Daphnia pulex: one gene and its partners. The protein of the gene in region 1 purifies or fractionates together with the protein of each later gene. This does not show direct contact. Links are inferred from orthologs where the notes say so. Each region holds a gene or a part of one and is shown on either strand. Other genes may lie near its edges. The genes, in order: E3 ubiquitin-protein ligase rnf146-like, poly [ADP-ribose] polymerase 1-like and DNA repair protein XRCC1-like.

Evidence for each region.
Region 2: the proteins of E3 ubiquitin-protein ligase rnf146-like (region 1) and poly [ADP-ribose] polymerase 1-like purify together in Homo sapiens (affinity purification with mass spectrometry; 4 studies listed by BioGRID and IntAct, counting the BioPlex papers as one, with this or other methods). This does not show direct contact. The link is inferred for Daphnia pulex from reciprocal best matches to the Homo sapiens genes RNF146 and PARP1.
Region 3: the proteins of E3 ubiquitin-protein ligase rnf146-like (region 1) and DNA repair protein XRCC1-like purify together in Homo sapiens (co-immunoprecipitation; 3 studies listed by BioGRID and IntAct, with this or other methods). This does not show direct contact. The link is inferred for Daphnia pulex from reciprocal best matches to the Homo sapiens genes RNF146 and XRCC1.

The regions. Positions count from the first base shown.
Region 1 is NC_060018.1:1,339,799-1,346,183, reverse strand, and holds E3 ubiquitin-protein ligase rnf146-like, read right to left. Parts: upstream 3,823-6,385; 5' UTR 3,729-3,822; intron 3,668-3,728; 5' UTR 3,630-3,667; intron 3,315-3,629; 5' UTR 3,309-3,314; coding exon 2,861-3,308; intron 2,337-2,860; coding exon 1,657-2,336; 3' UTR 1,400-1,656; downstream 1-1,399. Other genes in the region: kelch domain-containing protein 4-like, read right to left, coding at 43-209, 271-506, 568-741, 803-913; serine/arginine repetitive matrix protein 2-like, read right to left, coding at 4,716-6,117, 6,194-6,385. UniProt on the Homo sapiens protein: E3 ubiquitin-protein ligase that specifically binds poly-ADP-ribosylated (PARsylated) proteins and mediates their ubiquitination and subsequent degradation. May regulate many important biological processes, such as cell survival and DNA damage response.
Region 2 is NC_060024.1:8,492,094-8,498,716, reverse strand, and holds the start of poly [ADP-ribose] polymerase 1-like, read right to left. Parts: upstream 4,457-6,623; 5' UTR 4,299-4,456; intron 4,216-4,298; 5' UTR 4,183-4,215; coding exon 4,069-4,182; intron 4,004-4,068; coding exon 3,859-4,003; intron 3,792-3,858; coding exon 3,640-3,791; intron 3,569-3,639; coding exon 3,357-3,568; intron 3,300-3,356; coding exon 3,086-3,299; intron 2,993-3,085; coding exon 2,910-2,992; intron 2,839-2,909; coding exon 2,713-2,838; intron 2,655-2,712; coding exon 2,556-2,654; intron 2,492-2,555; coding exon 2,331-2,491; intron 2,262-2,330; coding exon 2,104-2,261; intron 2,041-2,103; coding exon 1,974-2,040; intron 1,716-1,973; coding exon 1,508-1,715; intron 1,428-1,507; coding exon 1,229-1,427; intron 1,150-1,228; coding exon 817-1,149; intron 756-816; coding exon 627-755; intron 560-626; coding exon 461-559; intron 394-460; coding exon 250-393; intron 165-249; coding exon 152-164; intron 84-151; and 1 more. Other genes in the region: uncharacterized protein CG1161-like, read left to right, coding at 4,747-4,812, 4,895-5,125, 5,189-5,314, 5,377-5,520; U3 small nucleolar RNA-associated protein 18 homolog, read left to right, coding at 6,094-6,560. UniProt on the Homo sapiens protein: Poly-ADP-ribosyltransferase that mediates poly-ADP-ribosylation of proteins and plays a key role in DNA repair.
Region 3 is NC_060028.1:2,114,127-2,120,799, forward strand, and holds DNA repair protein XRCC1-like, read left to right. Parts: upstream 1-2,253; 5' UTR 2,254-2,373; coding exon 2,374-2,424; intron 2,425-2,705; coding exon 2,706-2,903; intron 2,904-2,964; coding exon 2,965-3,197; intron 3,198-3,266; coding exon 3,267-3,403; intron 3,404-3,463; coding exon 3,464-3,864; intron 3,865-3,936; coding exon 3,937-4,112; intron 4,113-4,181; coding exon 4,182-4,295; intron 4,296-4,364; coding exon 4,365-4,631; intron 4,632-4,696; coding exon 4,697-4,834; intron 4,835-4,897; coding exon 4,898-4,973; exon of another isoform or gene 4,974-5,046; coding exon 5,047-5,160; 3' UTR 5,161-5,185; downstream 5,186-6,673. Other genes in the region: acid phosphatase type 7-like, read right to left, coding at 5,219-5,404, 5,473-5,644, 5,705-6,332, 6,396-6,599. UniProt on the Homo sapiens protein: Scaffold protein involved in DNA single-strand break repair by mediating the assembly of DNA break repair protein complexes. Negatively regulates ADP-ribosyltransferase activity of PARP1 during base-excision repair in order to prevent excessive PARP1 activity.

The DNA of each region.
Region 1 (6,385 bases):
CAACAAACAGCATATGCGTGAAATAAAGACTAAAGATATTACCAGATGGTTCAATCTTGCGCCATGTTCTGCTCTCCAGATCGAACAAATGAACATCATTATAATATTTATAATCCAATCCGTTGTCGTGATAACCACCAAAGACAACCAAATTTTTTTTACATAAAACCATCCGATGACCACTTCTTGATGAAGGACCAAGTGTAGCGCTAAACATAAAAAATTATTTTTTTAAATTACCCAAGTTGAAAGAAAGAATGATTTAAATACTTTATTTTTTCCCATTTCTTGGTTTTTAAATAAAAGACCCACAAGTCTTTATAATGGTAGAATTGGGACTGTGAAGGAGAAGCATATTCTCCTCCAAATATCCACAACTGCCCTCCTTCCCCTGCTGTCAAAACTGCCTGATGGGCACAGCGTGGTGGTGCAGCTCCTGGAGCTTGTATCTTCAACCATGTTTTCTTCTTTAAGTTGTAAAGAACTAGATCACCAAAACAATAGGTCTACAAGAATGAAGATGAAATCAGTTAGTATTACAAAATCTATCATTATTTTATTTTCAACCTTTTGTCCATTGAAATATTCTCCTCCGAACATGACAATTTCATCTTTTTCAAAATGAGCATTTAAAGAAAAATTTGCTCTGCGACTAGGCCCATCTTTGAGCAAATCTTCAACAATAGCATTTTTCTTTCGATCTGCTTCTTCAAGTTCTTTTATAACTTGCTCCAAGTCTTCCTAGAAATAAAAAAATATATCATCAAAACATTTAATTCAAAGGGCTGTGAGCACATTATACCTCTCCTTTAGCAGCTAATTCTTTTTTTAACTTGGTAGTTTGTTTCTTTAAAGTTTTTGCAATCGTTTTCTCAGCTCCTTTACCTTTTTTAGATTTATCTTTTTTACCCATGATTATAATATTATAACAGCTACCTATAAAAACAATTTCTTGATTTAGTAAGAATGTAAAGAGCGAACTCGGTAAATGTCAACACAAGAATTAATTCTTGAAACTTTGACAACTTGAAACGAACACGTTTTCATAAATCGTCTGCTCTTCAGCCATGCTTTAGAGAAGTTCTTTGTTGCCAAATATCTCTACAACAAAAAACGACAGGAAATTAAAAAATTAAAAATTCGCGTTCGACCGTTCGTGGCATTCGAACCTATTTTACCATTTAAAAAAAAGGGAAGATATTTTGGATAGGTATCCGACCAAGATCCGACTTGAGTACACGCTATTACTTTTTACTTCGTGACTGCGCCTGCGGACATTTTTTCTCTGATGGTTTTATCAAATGATAAAATATCACAATGAAATTTCGTCTCGCTACAAATCCCATTCATTATAAAAGGCTGAAGGGATAAACTTAATATAAAACATGACTTATTAAAGTTATGAGGCAAAAAATTTATTTCAAAAATGTAGTCCACTCTACAATATATTTGCGAATGGAAATCAAATAGAGAATCAAGAGTTTTCACTCTCTAATCTAATCAAAATCCAATCTAAAATACAACACACGAGTTGGAGGTTGAGGGGATTACATTTTCTCGGTCGCCATGACCCAAGAATGAATAAGGCAGAAAGATCTTCTTGATTCAATTACAATTTCAAGGTAATTCTGAAAAGAGTAAGACAGATTTACGATACTAACTAATGATCACCTCTCCTTCTTCGTCATCAGAAGAGCTGTCTTCACTTGGCCACAAGTCGTCGTGAGTATCGTCGTGTATAACGCTAGTTTCTTCATCCATATTATAATAGATGACCATGTTATCTAATCTGGAGAGCGGTGGAGTGAACCTATCTCCGTCATGGAGTCTTAGACGTTCGATTTCTTCAACAGCTCGTCGGAGACGACGTCTTTCCCGCTCCTGCCAACGAGATTCACTGGGCAATGTTTGAGCTACAGAGTCTTGATTAGAAATCGTTTCCGGAGCTGGAGACGGAGGACTACGCGGCGTTTGAGGGGTCTGAGGTGTTTGAGGAGTGTTGGAAGGAGCTTGGGGTGTTTGGCTAGGAGATAAACAGTTGGAAGTGAGAGCTGCTCTGCTGGCAGCCACTGAAAGAAGATCTAAAGAAGCAGCTTGACCATTTTCAGTTTCGTCACTCTGTTCCAGCCGCAACCCAGCAACTCCTTTCTTTGGTATTGAGGCAAGATCGCGTTTAATGCGTCGACGTCGCGAAGGCTCCGTCTTCCTGGATTGAAACATCTGATCGAAATCGATCGTGTAAAGAAATCCAGCAATCAGCAACTCGCAAATACGCTGAGAACGCTTATAGGCACATTCCATCTCGAAACTGGTTCGTTCGTCATACGCCCACCAACCTAAAACGAAGAAAACAAAAAAACAAACAAATGAAGCATTCAAAATGTGCTCGTTTTGTTTGAAAGCCATACAAAATGTTGTATTTAGTTAACGTTTTGTGCTTACATAAAGAGAATTTTGATCGAGTACGAAATTACATGTATATTCACATTTCTTTATTATTTTCATTATTATTTTGTTTGTTTGTTCTTAATTTTATTGTTATTTGAAAGATTTCACAAACGAATTCCTGCAACACCGAGTATGGGAAAAGATGCAGCACTTCTTTTTATTTTGCGTATTCTTCCCGCTCTATGTTTAGGAAATTGAATAAGTTGCTGAAAATCGATAACATAACTGGCTCCTGCAATGACCATTTCAAACGTTCTTTCCCCACGTTTGTAATTCTGCTCGAGATCAACAGCGGTGCGGTCGTCGTACTGCCACCAGCCTTAAAGATCCGTAAGGAATGAAATGTCAAAATCTACACAGTCTAAAAGCTGGACCACTCAAAAATATGTTGATAGAGAAAAAGATTAATTACCGTTTCTCCCTTCATAAAACCATTGGTATCCATCTTCTAAAGTGGATTCTTTTTCCAGCTGAGTCCGGTCAAGTAATTGTGGGTGAATAAGGAAATCGCTGGGAATTTCTTGTCGACACATGGCGCATCTTTTCGACTGGAAAGCCACGCCTTTCACGCAAAGATAGCAGAAGATATGTGAACAAGGCAGCTTCACTGGATGAATGCATGTTTGGAGGCATACAGCACATTCTATCACAGTACTGCTATTTTCTCCTTTGTCAACTGGAGAATCTTCTGCCTTGCTACTTGCACTGCAATCTGTTTGTTTCAGTCCTGAGGACAGGACAGAATTATTTGACAAATCTTCTCTGCTACTCTGTAATGAGGCATTTCGGCTGGTCGCTCTTGAGCCTCTTACATTCATCCTTGAGCATTGATCTCCAGAAGTGGTCCCCGACTCAGACATGATAATCTACCAAGAAAGAATAAATATTTATTTTAAAATATATGTTTAGCTTAGGGTAAGTATATATCTAATTATAATAAATTTTCTTAATAACTGGTTAAACTTTCAAGTACCCCTATGAAAGAGTGCACATCAAAAGACTTAAAACAGATTGTAAATCCCTTTGAGTTTAAGTAATACTACTAAGTTTAGTTAAACATATTGTTAGTAACAATCACGTATATTCGCCCAATATTTAACATTTATAATCTGCAAAGAGAAAGTATGAGACAAAAGGATTCAAGAAATGCTTTCCAACCGAGTTTAGAAATATTGCTTTACCTTGTTTTATATCGGGAGTAAGTGGGCAAAAGTAGACTCTATAATTAACAATTATTTTTATATTATACCACTCGGTTTTTATAAGAGTAAGAAGTTCACCAATTAAAACGACCACGACGTGTAAACTTGTGCAGCCATCTTGTCAGTCAGAGTAGTGTTGTTGTAAACACTAAACAGTCGAAGTAAAGGATGGAATGCGCAATATAAGTCTTCGGCGTTGCCAAGTATTCCGAAATGAGAACTCTCCATTTCTCCGAAAGAATTTTTGGTGCGTAATCGAAAAGGCATCCGAAATTAAAGACTGGTTAAGCCGTCCAGCATTCCCCCCACACATCGGAGTGCCAAAAAAAAATGTATAAATAGATACGAGCATAATATCGCTTTAATAGTTTGTATAATATAAAGACAAAATGCTCGACACGTCACATAAATCATTCGTGGGAGGGTTAGGGGGATTGGAAAGATTCAACAATACATCGAAATGTTTACGAGACACGAGACACAACAGAGACGCGCGCCGCATAGAGAGAAATCGAAGAGGGTAGAACTGAAAAACTGAAATAAATAGAACCTCATGAGAAAAAAAAAACAAAAGAAAATACATTCAAGGCAGAGGACGAAAATGTACAGCAAAGGTCCACTAATATGCCGTAATATCTCAATACAAAATAGACAGATGCTTCTTCGTGTTTTCATTTTTAATCGAACAGAAATTCCAGAATGGTAAAAAAGGAAAGAAAAGAATGAGAAGAGAGGGGTCTACAAAAAATTCATGTCTACACCAGTCGATTTTTTCATGTAGTCAGATCTAACGCGCATGAGAGGAAATAGGGCAGGAAGATTGGCATGTGTGACGAAGAGTGAGCGGAAAAAACGTTTGCACCGAAAGAAATGAGGTTCATTACGCCACTCGTTCGTCGAATCAAACACTGGAATTCCTTCACACTATAAAGAAAAGAGAAGCGATGGCAAGACGCAGGGGAGAGCGCATTGAATTTTTGTGTGAGAAAGAAAGAAAGAGGAAACCGATGATGATGATCGTCTTTTTTTATCTTTTAGTACGAGTACACTGCACTTGTGCTATTGCTACCGCGATTGGGGGTCGTCTTTGCGAGGATACGGATCCATCGGATTAAAGGGCGCTAAGCCGGAGGAAGGATGCGGCGACGTCAAATCCATTAAAGGACGACCCACACCGGATGGAGGCGTACTATTGGAGGGCGGTCGGGCGCCTCCCATAGAAGACCCGTGGTGCGGAGGGAGCAAGTGATGCGGATTCATCATGTGAGGAGATGGTGACGGCATTGGATATGGTGACAACCCTAGGCCGGCCGGCATGAGACCCATGTGAGTCCGCCCAAGCGAAGCCAGCGCCGACGAACCCGGGAGTGATGTCGGTGGTTGTCCCGATGGCGGTGGAGTCCGTTTACCACCAGAAGTCAACAGCGATTGAGGCAACATTGACAAGGAGCTCATGCCACTTCCCAATCCGGCTCCTAAAAGTCCACCAGGGCCTAGAGGCGGAAACGGATACGACGTTGAAGTGGGCGGATAGAGAGTCGGGGCTCCACTCATCCCTGGAAGGGATCCAAAGCGATCATTTTGCTGCCCATACGGTCCACCTTGTTGACCTGCCAAGGAATAGGATCCAGCCATAGATGGGTGGCCGAGGTGAGGAGGCAACGATAACCCGTCTCTGTATCGGTCGGGAGGAAGTCCAGGCAATCCATAAGAAGAAGGAGGTGTCCCGTATCCGTGCAGTCCCGGTCCACCTAATGCCAGATGATTGGCTGCCGCACCGTAGTTTCTCAAAAACGATTCGCGATCCATACTCTCCCGCATCGGATCCATCCCACGCAGGACGTCTCTGAAAGGATCGAAGGAACCGTGGCTGTACGCGTGTAACGGCGTGTGCATCCCCATACGGGATCTGTCCAACATGTTGGCGGGCATTTGCATCCCCGGATGGAATGATAACGGCGGAAGATTGCTGGACATGGACTGCGAGGCGTTAGATTTGTTGGACTGATCCGATTTCGAAGATCCACCGTTGGCCGACGTCCGCGAATGTGGATGTAGAGGGGATCGTGAGGCGTGTCTCCTCCTTTCTCGTTCCTTTTCCTCCTCTCTTTTCTTTTCACGCTCTTGTCTTTCACTCCTTTCTCTCTCCTTTTGTCTTTCCTTTTCTCGCTCCCGTTCCCTCTCTCTTTCACGTTCTCTTTCTCTTTCGCGCTCTCGTTCCCGCTCCCGTTCCAGTTCTCGTTCCCGCTCCCTTTCACGTTCTCTTTCACGCTCACGCTCTCGTTCTTCCTTCTTCTGTCTCTCTCTCTCTTTGGCCATCTGATGATGGTTGGACATTGCAGCAGCAGCGCTATGATGAGACGTCGTCGGGGACTGCTCGGATTTCATCGATGACATCGATCCGGCGCTCATCAACGGGGCCAGCCAAGGGGCCGTCATCGAGGACGAGGATGAAGAATGTGGCATTCTAATAAAATCAAAGAAAAAGTATGTCAAAACACCTCAAATTTCTCCAATACTTTTTTTTTCCAGGATCCTATTACCTAGTCCATTGATCGGGTGCCGGACTGTGTCTCACTCCACCAGGTGGCTGCATTGAATGGTGAGAAGGAGGAGGTGTAGGGACGGAAGGAATACGGGGAAGAAAGCCGGCCATGTTGTGATGGGTATAACCAAATGGCGAATTGTGCGAATTGAGCGCGCTGGGCAAGGTATCAAAACCGCCTGTCGACTTT
Region 2 (6,623 bases), on another chromosome or scaffold:
AGGATTGCTCTTTGAAGTGACGCAATAGTTGGCAGACTTTGAAACCATGTCAGCAAAATAAATACCTTTGCCAAACATGTAGCCTAAAAACAACAAAAGCATTAACAAGTTTAATCATCGTGATATAGTTGAGTAGCCAAGAAGAAATTACCAGTGACTGGAGCCTATCAAAATTCACCCAAAATAAAGAAAGGATTAATGGTTAATCAAGAAAAAAGTCAAATATATAACAAATAAATGTAATTTTACCTCAGGTGGGGCAATACGCAACCCTTGAGATAGGATACCAGCCATATTGGAAACACGAGATCCGTGCCACAAGAGCTTGCGATTGGGTAATTTGGAGAACGGACGGAATCTTTTCGATTCTCCTTTCCGAACCACCTTGAATACCTGGGAAAGAAAACGAAAAAGTTAACTGCTAGTCCTAGCGTGAAACTACTTAAACTCTTCTACTTACTTCTTCCACTTCGAGAGTATATTGAGTATGAGTTGCTGCGTGAGTATTCTTTGCATACGTTTGAATAACACTAAATTCTTCGGAAGACTTGTCCAAAACCTAGAGATAATTTAAAAAATCAGCAATGATACGTAATACAAAACATGAAAGGGATAAATATTGTTACTTCAATTTCAGTGTTAAGCTTCTCATAGTGGGCATCGATGGGATCCTTATCCTTAACAGCATCGCCGGCTTTCAGCAAGCTGAAGGCCACCTCGATTTCCATCAAGCTCTCAAGCATCTCCAGTTTAGACTAGAAAACAAATCGAGATTATACTACATCATGCTGGAAGGACAATGAGTTAATCCATTACCTTAATGATTTCGTTATCGCTAAGAACAGGCGGAGTTTTTCTTCCAAAGTCGTGCGGAATGAGTGTGTAGAACTGATTCGAGATATCGAGGAATTTAGTCTTCGATACATCTTTCGAATCCAACATTTCCTGAGCCTGACTTAAAATCCCGTACGCCTTTTCTAGCTGTTTCTTGCTCAGTTTACCAAGAGGCATCTTGGTTAGATCTAATTCAAATTCTACCATCGTCCGTTTCATAGCTTCGACATCAAATAACATGCAGACCAATTCTTGAATAGATCGGTGAAGCTTCGATGTCGAATTGGCGATCGTCATACGTGAATCTATTTCTGACTGAAAGTGTGGAAATCACATTTTAAAAAATTGATGTCATTACGTAATTTCAAAAAGACACAAGAAAAATAGAAAATACCTCTCCGTAGTCAATATCTAGAGGGTAGAGTTTTCCGGGCTGCTTCTCAAAATTATCTCGATTTTCCCAAAGGTTACCAGTTTTCTCCTCGTACAGAGCAACAAAATCCTCTATTGCTTCTTGTTTGGTATCCATCTTAGTTAGCTTGGTATCTCCAATCGTTGTACCAACTCGACCCCAAGCACGGAATACATGCCACCTGTCGAATTAAAAAAAAAAAAAAAAAAAAATTATAGTTGTTATCTACAATTGCCACTGGGGGAAGCGAAGCCAATTTACTTGTTTCCTTTGTCGTGTTCAAGAATTTGAAGCTTGTAGTAAGAATTTCTTCCACCTTGAATGTCAACGATCCCAAGTACAACGCTGTACAGACCATTTTTCGTCTTCAGGACATGTGCTTTATCTTCCAAACCAGAATCGGGATCAACTACTCCTCCTCCTTTAAGTTTCAGCTTCAGTTTATCGGACATGCCTGAACCAGATTTTTCTGCAAACGAAAACACAATTTAGTTACGAGATTCAGCTTCGTTTTTAGCGTGAAATAAATCAACAAATATGTTAGTCGCGTATCTGTCTATGAGGGCAGACTTGGATCCCTTCATAGTCATCAGACGACTCAATTAATTTAGGATTGAGTTGTGACCTTGAACTTGATTTACTTGCAAGTTTAAAGCGTATGACTCCCCCATACTTATACTACAGTTTTTACTGGGAAACATTAAAAGTAATAAACAGTCCAACCAACCTGAGCCTTTCGATTTTCCAGAAGATTTCGTGGCACCCGACTCGTCCAAACCAAGACGCTTCTCGATCTAGATTTATTACAGTTTTTAAAAAATCTCAAAAATTAGGGCAATAAAAGAAAAAAAATTTACACTGTGGCAATCCCATGGTGCGATGTTTTTCTTCGTTATAATGGATGAGGCAGATTCGCCAGTGCTTGCTTTGATTGCATCCAAAAAGCTAAGGTCTACAACATGAATACCGAGTTCAGACGCTTTCTTCAACTTTGAATCCTTTTCTTTTAAATTGTCTGTAAAACAGTAATACCACATATAAAGGCTTAATCTCATAAGAGAAACTACCCACTCAAATTTCTAACCTTTCGTAGAAATTACGGCTGCAATTTTTTCGGTAACGCGCGAACCTACAGAACCTAGTAATTTTTTTATTTCAGCTTCGACTTTTTCTTTAGACTTTTCAAGCTTGGAATCAAGAATGAATTTCAAGCCTTCTAGTGTGGGTGGGCGTTTCGAATCGGATCTAAAAGAAAAAGAAAACATTAATAGACAGAACTAGCACGTTATCTAGTTGAGTAAATAGCTACTTTTCTTTTTTCACGTTCACTTCTTCGGTTGGATTCATACGAATAGTGCGAGTTAGCGCTGGGATTACCCTCTGTCCGGGAACATATTTGTACTTTTTCCTATAGAAGAATGAAGTTTAGAAAGTAACTTAATGTATGGCAACAACAGCCTTATTACAAAAATGAGTAATTTTCCGAGAGGTCCGATGGAACTTTGAATGGTTTCCTTTCGGGAGTTGTTGTCGAGTTGGGGCACTTCGTCCAGCCACTCATGTTTCCAGAGCATTGATAACCCATGCCACTCCTGTTGTAGAAGAAGAAGTAAATCTATATAGGTAAGGCTTACCGACTTGAAATTTCTATTATTTTAATCACTTGTAGAAAAACTGTCCACTTTTGCATTCATTGCATGGAAGCAAAGCTCCAAACGCCATTACATCGGCAAGAAGGTCCAACATCTAAAAAGATAAATAGCTGCATATAGTTTAACTATGCGACATATTGATTAACACTCAGAAGAAAATAAAAATATTAATAAAAAGTGCAAGTACTTCAGATGTTCCAGAAGGAATTTGCTGATCGTTGTATTCCAGCAGAATCTGGAGTTCTTGTTTTGTCAGAGTTTCCAACTGGTCTCTGTATTTAAACTGAATTTTATTTTGCTTCTTGATCTCTTCCTTGAGCTGTTCATTTTCTTTTTCTTCTTTCTTTATCTTCTTTGCATCCGAAGGTCCGTCGACAGCATCCCCGTCAACTTTTCGTTTGCTGAAAAAAGAAACCGTTATAATACATGATTTTCCAAATTTCGATTCTTGTCAATACTTAGCGGAAAGAGCAGGGAGTTCTTTTGAGAGAACTTTTTTGTCGTCGGCAGTTAGATCTTTAAATCCAGGGATTGTATCCACTCCGCTAACAAATTCTAATTCTTCTCGTCGCTCTTTAAAACATTTGACGTGGTACCACATATCCAACATTTGTCCATGTCTCATGCCTCCTTTGGTGTCGTATCCTTTCTTTGATATCCTCAATTCATCCTACAATTTGAACATTATAGACATGTTTGAACATGGATCGTTTTAGAACTTGCACTTAATGATTATAATACTTTTGCAATTTTTTCTAAGCAGCCTCGACATGCAGCTCTCCCAGATTTTGCATACTCAATTAGAAAATCAGAAAAGGGTTCAGCAACTTTAGCTGTTTTCCCCTTGCCTTTTCCTTTTTTACTTGGTTCAGCAATCCCACCTTCACTGATTTCTTTGGAAAAAGGAAATAGTTAGAAATCAACTAAATACAATGTATAGCAATATTAGTAATGTTTTACTTTTGAGCATCTGATTAATTTTCTCTTGATCTTCCCAGCGCAATTGATCAAAATGTTCAATGTCACCAGCTGATTTGGGCCGTTGCCTTTCAAAAAAGCAATCAAAGTGGTACCACGAAACCATTTTCCCATCAAATTTGGCAGCCTAAAACAACAATACTGTACTAGTGTACAAAGTCCAGAACCAAACAATAAAAAATAAAATGTTACCTGAAAGATTACAGCAAGTCGTAGAGTGCCTTGAGGAATGTTTTCTTTGCATTTCTTGCAACTAGCTCGACCCGTCTTTGCATATTCTGCTCGAAAAGGTAAATCATCCGCCATCGTTTTCTTCTGAAAATGAACGTCCCACGATTTCTGGGATTTCGGAAAAATCACAAAAAAAAACACAATTAGCATTAGCAGTTCATAATTTTAAATGAGATTGAAATGGGCCATACCTATATATTCCAATTTCCAGTGCACTCAGATAGTTTGAATTCTTGATTCTTTTAACACAATCTTTTCCACTACTTCGAGTACAACGTCCTCCAAACTTCGCAGTTCGCACTTCGCAGCCGACAGAGTTGGGCACGTTTTTAGGTAACAGTAGAATTTCGAGATGGCGCGCTAGGAACAAAACAGTGTTGTCAGATGGGGGCTCCTAAGTGGCGAAAATGGAGAAAAGTTTATTTAGAACTAAAAAGAATAAGTAATTAAATTTCAATTCCACAGTAACGTTTAAATTTTTATTGCTGTAATACATGTTTAACGACCCATTTCCTCTTTGAACAAAAACAATGTTTCTTTTTTTTTTTAAATAGCAAACCAGTTGGCGCCACAAGCTGTGGTCGACAGTCTGTCAGCTGTTTTGTTTCCGACAAATCAGTATCGGATTTTGCTGCAATTATGACACTTCGAAAGAGTTTCTTTCTTTCTTTTTTCGTCCTTTTCATCTTCTCATTCATCAGTGATGTATTGATTTTTATGTTTACTATTAAGAAAACATTGCTTAGAAATTTAATGATTTTGGTTTTGTTTGTTTTTGTCCTAATAGGTGAATGCACAGTATGAGGATGTCAGATGCAAGTGCATTTGTCCAGATACCGCCGTAGTAAACGGAACTCAGTCACATAGAAAACTTTACATTGAAAATGTTCCACCTAACAAATGTGATTGTACAAATGTTGTGCTCCCAAGGGTAGGGGATGATATCAAAGGAAAGGAAAAAGAATTTTGTCCACGATGTGAATGCAAGTACGAAAGCAGGAACACAACAACAATCAAGGCAAAAAAACTGTTGACATAATGTATTGTAGACTATTCTAATATAAATTTTTTTAAATTTCAGGTTGTTGTAATTATTGTTATCTGGATAATATCTCTACTAGTCATATACATGCTGTTTCTTGTTTGTCTTGATCCCCTTCTCAACAAGAAAACCACTACACAATATCAAGAACATAATAATGAAGAGGTATTCTATAAATTTCTCCCTTTTCTTCCTTCAATCATCTTTTTAACTAATTTATCCTACAGGATGAAAGTGAAACCCATTCTCAACCTTTAAGGGCAAGTGGAGCAGGTGTGCTCAACCGTGTTGGCCAAACTACTGATAAGTGGAAGAAAACTGTTCAAGAACAACGTCGACATATTTATGATCGACACACTATTCTTAACTAATCACTTTTCTAAATTCCAATTCTATGATCTGTAGATGTTTGCGCGTTTATTCTTATTCTTATTTCAAATATTTCATTCACCAACGGAAATAAAAAAATTAAAGTCTCATATCGTAGAGTTTAAGATTCTTTTTTCATTGAAAAATATCAGAGGGAATGTAACTTGGTAGGATACATTAGTAGGTTGCTGTAGGCCTACTAATCATGCGCGAAACTAGAATGCAGCCGGACAAGTCATAAAATCAAGATTCAGAAGAAATTTTCGTTGGTGTCTATTTGATAATATACAAAAGTAATAAATCATATTACCTCATTATTTTTATGGTTAATTCGCTAACCAATTACTTCATTAGTCTTCATTAGCCTGCGAGTCCCTGGCGAGTCCAGTCTTGTCCAGTCTAGCCAACTTGGGATTTGCTCCCACTATTTACCTATTTCAGATAAAGTGGATGTGGAGTTTGGAATGACTGTTGCAGACGAATTTAGTTCAAATTGAAAATTACAAGTTTAGAAGCACCCAAGCCATCAAGCACGTGTTTATTAAGGTGCAACAAACGAAGAAATAACACTTAAGATGGGACGCACATTTAAGAAAAAAAGTTCAAAACCGAAACCAGCAAAGAATGACGAGCAACTAAAAGTTGAGTCTACAGAGTTTCAGTTGGATCTTGGAGCCCTGGATGGATATGATTTACCAAATGTTGATGAAAATGAAGATCTTCATGAGGAGCCAAAAAGTAAGAAGTTGAAACAATCCAAACCTCAAGTCTTGGGCATTGACTATAGGGAAAGAGAAGAAAAGAGACTGGAAGAGTTGCTATTTGGGGAATTGTTTAAGAAACTGGAACAAGAACCCCAGTCTAAAAAAGATACGAGCAAAAGTTCTGCTTCAAAAAAAAAATTGAGAAAACAAATCTCCAACAAAGCATCTAGTGAAGCGAAAGATTCCCTTCCAGAAGATGTCTATGGTAAAAATCTAGGTTTAAGTTCAACAGCAGGAAGGCAAGCAGTCTGGGTTGATGAAGATGATGAAGATTTAAAGTAAGATATCACACTATTTATTTAAATAATTGTTTGTCATTTTATATTGATTTATTTGTATTC
Region 3 (6,673 bases), on another chromosome or scaffold:
CTGTGCGGCCTCGAGCGATTTGAAAGTATATAAAATGGCACTTTTGCCAAACCTAAATAAAAAAAACCAAACTTTTCCAATCTAGTATACGAACATTCAGTTATATAGCTATATAGCCGTATTTACATATATATACATACGGTGCTTGTATAAGTTCATGTTATATCATGCCACTTTCTTATATAGATCTTTGCTGAGTGCAAGAAAGCGCCTCTGTGCTGCTGGGAAAGTTCAGATTCGTCTACCAATAAGTTTCGTTCGAGCAAAGCCTCGACGTATTTTCCCCCCTGCAGACGTATAATAAACAAGTATCTTGTATAGTGTGTCGTCTGATGATACTTTGAACGTATAGTACCAAAACAATACTTTTGAGACTGTATATTATCACCGACATAAAGGCGCGGTGCATTTCTGGTAAGAGAAGTATAGTTGACAGTGCTTGTAGCAGAAGCTCATTAAAGCGCCCTATTCATGGTCTATATATACTGTCTATATTCATGCTGGGACAAGGAAAACTCTAGACACACACAGAGTCTCAATGGGTTGGAAAAAGAGAGATGGGATATATATTATAGACGCGTGAGCATAATATCTAGAGATCTCTTCATCATTTTACTTTGTATGACAACGAAGCCCCACATAGAATATTAGATAGATTGCCGGGATATTTATCGACACCAAGCAACGATGAACAAAGTTTTAGACTATACACCATGCATATAGCCTATATAGACGGTAGGTGCTGCTGATTGTGTCTTTGTTGTATTTTGGGGGGGGGGAATCTTAGGAATAATACAAGAGGAAACAAAATAGAATGGAGAATGAAATAGAAAGAGACTATAAGAAATTGAAGTGGCTCGTACATAGGTATACAAAGCTGCCGGAAGCCTAATACATATATATTGTACATGAAATGTGTGTGTATATGCCTGCAGTGAGTGCAGTTTATATAATATAGCCTGTGTATTTATACATGTAGTCAGCAGGATCGAGGAGAGTTAAAAGAAAAGTTTTTTCGGAAGGGAAATCTAAAAAATACATTCCTTAATATTCTCTGTGCGCAACCTCGATTCTTTGGCTGTATAGCGAAATAAGACATATATAGGAGAAATTAAAAGCCTATACTATATATATAATGTAGCCATGTTCATCCTTGGAAAGAGCTGGGTTGCTTGCTGCTGCGTGGGCCTTGTAAATACAATATAAAGAAGGGAGGAAAAGAGCGTGGAGGTGTCAATACTACTAACGCCGGAAAATGTTCCAGTTGATACTGGGCGATGCTGTGGCTGTTTTATTTTTTTTGTTTTTTCTGGGGAATCACCTATTAATAAAGGCGAGACGTAATATGGTTTTCTTCTCCTCGGCTTTTCTTTCGGTATCCAAGGAGCGAGAAACGGTCGAATTAGAAAAAAAAACAAATTAAAAATATCACTTGCACAAAATGCTTTGCACTCTGGCTGTTGACGTTGTCCTTGTAATATAAACTTCGTTGTCGGAGTACCACGTTGATAAATTAATGCGCCAGCTAAGCCGTAATAGAAATTAAATGAGCTAAAATCGATGACATCCCTCCCCCTTCTCTCCAGCATCATGAATGGTTAAGAGAAAAGAAAATAATAAATTTAGTGGACATTAATCAATTTGGTAGTTTAAACATTGAACCGCCAGAACGTATATATTTCCAGTTGGAATTGAAATTGACTTAAACGTTTAATGTGTAGATTTTATTTGCAGACTTATTTTTATTCATTTCTGTTGTCGTAAAAGATTGATCTCTGCTGATGTCGATGAGTTATTGTCGGTTTATTTTCGACTTGTCATCAGGCATCAGTAATAATAAATAAAAGGATAACCTAAAATAGGCCATTATCCACTATAGGACGCTGTTAACCTTTTTAAAAAAGACCAGCGTAGAAAAAAAACCCAGCGATTTTTGTTTGGATTCTGAATCTGGTGTTGTGTTCAATGCATATTGAATACGCGCGCTGAATGCATTTTACAATGTCCGTTTGCAAGCCAACGCGCTCTGTTGGCGGGTTTTTTAAACAGGACCCAGGAGCAGCCGACTTTCCATATATAATAAAAATAAAATGTAGGGAAAATTGAATGATCACAACTTTTAAAATGGGGGAATAAATTATTATTCTAATAAAATCTGAATCGCTCAGGGTGCGACGACTCAGAATAAGAAATCTTCCAAATTATTCAGGCCGTCTTCTAGCCCCAAAGCCGCCAGAGAATAAAACGTATAGTGCAGCTGCAAACATTGGACAAATCAACTTCCGACGATACACGTGCCAAGTTAAAAAGTCGTTGAAATTTGTATTCCAGTTTTGATTTTCTTAACATTTGTTCAGCGTCGTTGTTTTGTCTATGGCGCCCATAAAATTTACTCGTGTTGTGAGTTTCAGTAGCGAAGATCCGGTATGTTAACAAAATTGTGATTTTCATTGTATAAAGTCGCAAGTGATAGTTGTTTTGACGTTTGGTTTATCGAACCAGGGTGATTTTCACAAATTACTCTTGACACTTCTACTGCTATTTTGGTGAACTTAGTATTCCATAGTTGTGACTGGCAGTATAGAAATCTATTTAATTTCAACGATGAAGACTTTCACTAGAAGAAGATAAAATAGTCACAACGATTCTTACAATTTGCACAACTCTGTGCACTATGGAAAATGATAAAGATTTTTTTTTTACAGAATCAGCCAACAGAAAACCTCATTAAAGATGGAGTGTACAGGAAATGGAGGTGCAAATCTGCTGGAGAGCAGAAAGCGTGGGTTGAATTTCAGTTAGAGAAAACATCCTTCATTTCAGCTGTTGACATAGGAAACCATGGTTCTGCATTCATTGAAATTTTAGTTGGTAGAAGTGGTTGTTCCGATGAAGACTACAAGGTAGACATTACACTTTAAAATAATTGTATTATTTAATGTAAAAGTTGTACACATGTATTAGGTTCTTTTGAATTCAGCCTCTTTTATGACACCTCAAGAGTGTCGAAACGAAACAAATCTCCAGCGTGTACGGATTTTCAAACACCAAGATTTGAACAAGGCCACCCAAGCTGAAAAATGGGATCGCGTTCGGGTTGTTTGCACTCAACCGTTCAACAAACAGCTTCAGTATGGAATTTCCTTCCTTACAGTTCATGCTCCAGAAGAAGAGTCAGCTAATAAAACCAACAATAAGTAAGCCACAAATATTGCCACATGTCATACCAATAATGTATCCTATTAAATGAATCTTAATCACCTTAGTGCTAGCGTGAAAGCAGCAAACAGCATAGATCTTGGCATGTTTAAACTTAGGTCCGAAGAATCAATTGTTGACCCCATCAAACAAGGCAGTTTGTTCTCTCGGTTCAAGTCGTCGATCAGCACCTCGCCCAGCACTCGTAATTATTGCTGTCTAATTTGTTTTCATACCATGATAATGATTTTTTTTATTTAAATAGAGCCTGGTGCAATCCGTGCTGCATCTCAAAGTCTTGCCTCTGCTGCCCTAGCACAGAGTGAGAAAGAGGCCTTGACCATTTTGAGACACTCCCCTAACAAGGACGGCAGCAGACCAGATATCAAATTGACAGATAAGCTTAAAACGTTGCAGACTCGAAGTCCCACAGTATCTAAAACACCTACTGCTGCCAAAGTCGATCAACATTCGCCATTACCTAGTCGCAAGCAAGTGGAATCTGATCGGCCGAGACCAGTTGCGCCGCCCATCACTCCACCAGCTAAAAAATCGTTGAGTAAAAAAATGCAAGAAAGCAAACCAAGACATTCCCCCCTTCATGAATCGAAGAGAGTTGAAGGACCAGTTAAAAGGAAAACACCACCACCTTCTCCATCAGTTGACGTATAAACATTTATAATTCAACCTTTCAAATTATGAGTCGTACTATCACATCTTTTGAATGCCGATCTATAGACGCAGCGCTTAGCGAAAAAGCAACGGACGACCAAACCTTTTAATCGCCTATTGGAAGGCGTCGTGGTGGTCCTTAGTGGTTTTCAAAATCCTTTACGGGGTCAACTGCGAGATAAACTGCTGGCCTTAGGTGCCACCTATAAACCGGAATGGAACGCGTCTTGTACGCATTTGATGTATATTTTACAAAACAAATTTTTGACGTAGAGTCATGCGCTTATTATTCTTTATTCATTTGATTATAGATGTGCCTTTTACAACACACCAAAGTTCATTGAAGTTAAGGGTAAAGGCAAAATAGTTACCAAAAATTGGGTTCAAGATTGTTTCGACAAACGAAAAAGATTACCATGGAGACGGTAAAAATCATTACCAATGTGGTTTATTTTTCTATCGCTTGGATTGTAATAATTTGTCTTTTTAAATAGTTATTGTTTAGATAAAAATGACAGAGGAGAAGAAAGCGAAGAAGAAATTTGGGAAGGAGAGGACCAGGGGCCGACATGTCCGACCCCTACACCCCAAACCAGTAAAGCAGCAACTGTAGTACCCCAATCGCCAACTGTAGCAGCCAGTTGTAAGCCTACCACTGTGGTGGCGAGTCCTAAAACTAGTGTCGTCAAGGACGAAGAAGAAGAAGACTACGGCGGGTCGACTGAAGTTGACGAAGTCGACACGGAAGATGAAATCGATATGTAGGCTCATCTCACACACTCTTTTCGAATTTATAATGGCTAACGCACATAATTGTTTGAAATAGGATCAAGAAGAAAATTAAAGAACAACAGCAGACTTTGGAAGATTCAAACATTTACGCTAATTTGAACTTTTATCTGGGCAAAGATTTGTCCGAAGAAGTGAAAGAGGACCTAACGCTCTATATAAAAGAATGTCAAGGGTACTACCATTAATTAAATTTCTTATGTTCCTTTTTGACAAATAACGTATTTTTCTCAAACAGTAAATTAGTGCCGAAAATTAAATCAAAGGTTTCTCACTTTATATCCGACGATCCTGACGATGATTCAGTCGCCAAGGTAAATGCAGTTTATTTATTCTGTTCATAAAAGATTACTAAAGTCGGGTCTTGGATTATTCATTATTTTTAAGGCGCTGTCGAAAAACCAAGACATGAAAATTGTCAAAAGTGATTGGATACGGACATGCAGAAAAAATAACAAATTAGTTGCTCTCGATGAATTCTTGGTGCAACAAACGAAATGAATAATAAAGGTATTTTAAAACAGAACGATGTCTTCGTTTATGCTAATGAGGAGTTAAACTATACGAGATCTTTGATTAACCAAAAATCGTCAATCACCAGACCGTTTTGATCATCGGACACTTGTTCCAAATGTAAATGAGTTTTGTTTGCGAGAAATAATCGGGAATAACCGTAGTCGTTGCTGCGAAAGGCCGACCAATAGGGTAATTCTGGAATAAAGTCATCCCGTTCTTCTCGACAACCCTGAAATTTTAATATTTTTGATAAATGCGGTGTGCAAAGTTAAATATTTTCCAGCATATCTCTCCTACCGCTGATCCAGTTGTCACGTGAACTGGAGCTTTAGGGTTAGTATAGGGATGCTCCAAGCTTCCATTCATTACCGTACGGTTGAATATGGGCCAAAGTCGTTCGTACGAGTGCTCGTGAGCCCACAAGGCCAGGTCAACTCCATACTTGTAGAGGAGCGGCTCCAAAGCGAACCTATAAAAACACTACATTATTTAGAATTATTATTTGACATGATAGCACGCATTCGATTACCAGTGAAACAAAGGGAGCCCGACCCGAGTAAGAGTATCTTTCTTTGTACAGTCGTCTTGATCTGTATTTGAGCAATACATTGGACGATGGCCCATTACTATTATCCACGGTCGGACGCTAAGATTTTCAGGAGCGTTGGCCTCTTCTAGATCGCGAATCAGCCAATCGTACTGTAAAACGATCTGCTTAAAACCGTAGTTGATGAAATAGTAAAATTCGGTCGAGATGGAAATAATATGCGCTGGTCCAAGGTTAAAACTGTACATTAATCCATTTTCGCTTCCCGGCATAGAGAATCGCGCTTTGTAATGGCTGAAGTTGTACTTCTCTTCGTGATTTCCGACCGAGGTCATGTAAGGAACGTACGCGGCAATCGGTTCGATTTGACGCATAAATCGGTCGCCGAGTTGTCCGTCTTCTTCATACAAATCGTATCCGAAATCGCCAACGTGGAATATAGCATCGTAGCGCCCTTCTTGCGACTCTTTTTGCAGGCGCGAAAGTGACTGAGGATTTTCCGAGCCCATATCGCCGTACACAGCAAGTCTTGGGGACCAGTCGGTTGAATTTTCCACCGTAACGAAACTGAACAAATTGGACCACCCCAGACGACTCCCACATCGATAAACTAATGAAAGAAAAACATTTGAAAACTGCTTAACCTAAGAGATATGGAAAATCCGAAGATTACAGTATTTTTGTTTAGGCGACAACCCTGAGAGCTTCACTCTGTGTACAAATTGTTTCCGCTTTGCCAGCCCTCCATTGATAAACTCAGTTGCACTCCCTGTGGCTGTTTCTGTTAAACGATTCTCAACAATTCCATATTCCACAACACTTGTTTCATTTGTACTGTTGATGGTGTTCCATGTAACAATGAGATCAACAGGTTCATCTAATTCAAATTTCAGTGATTATTTGAAAAAATTGTACATAGGCACATAGCACAAAATGTTCATAATCATGTCT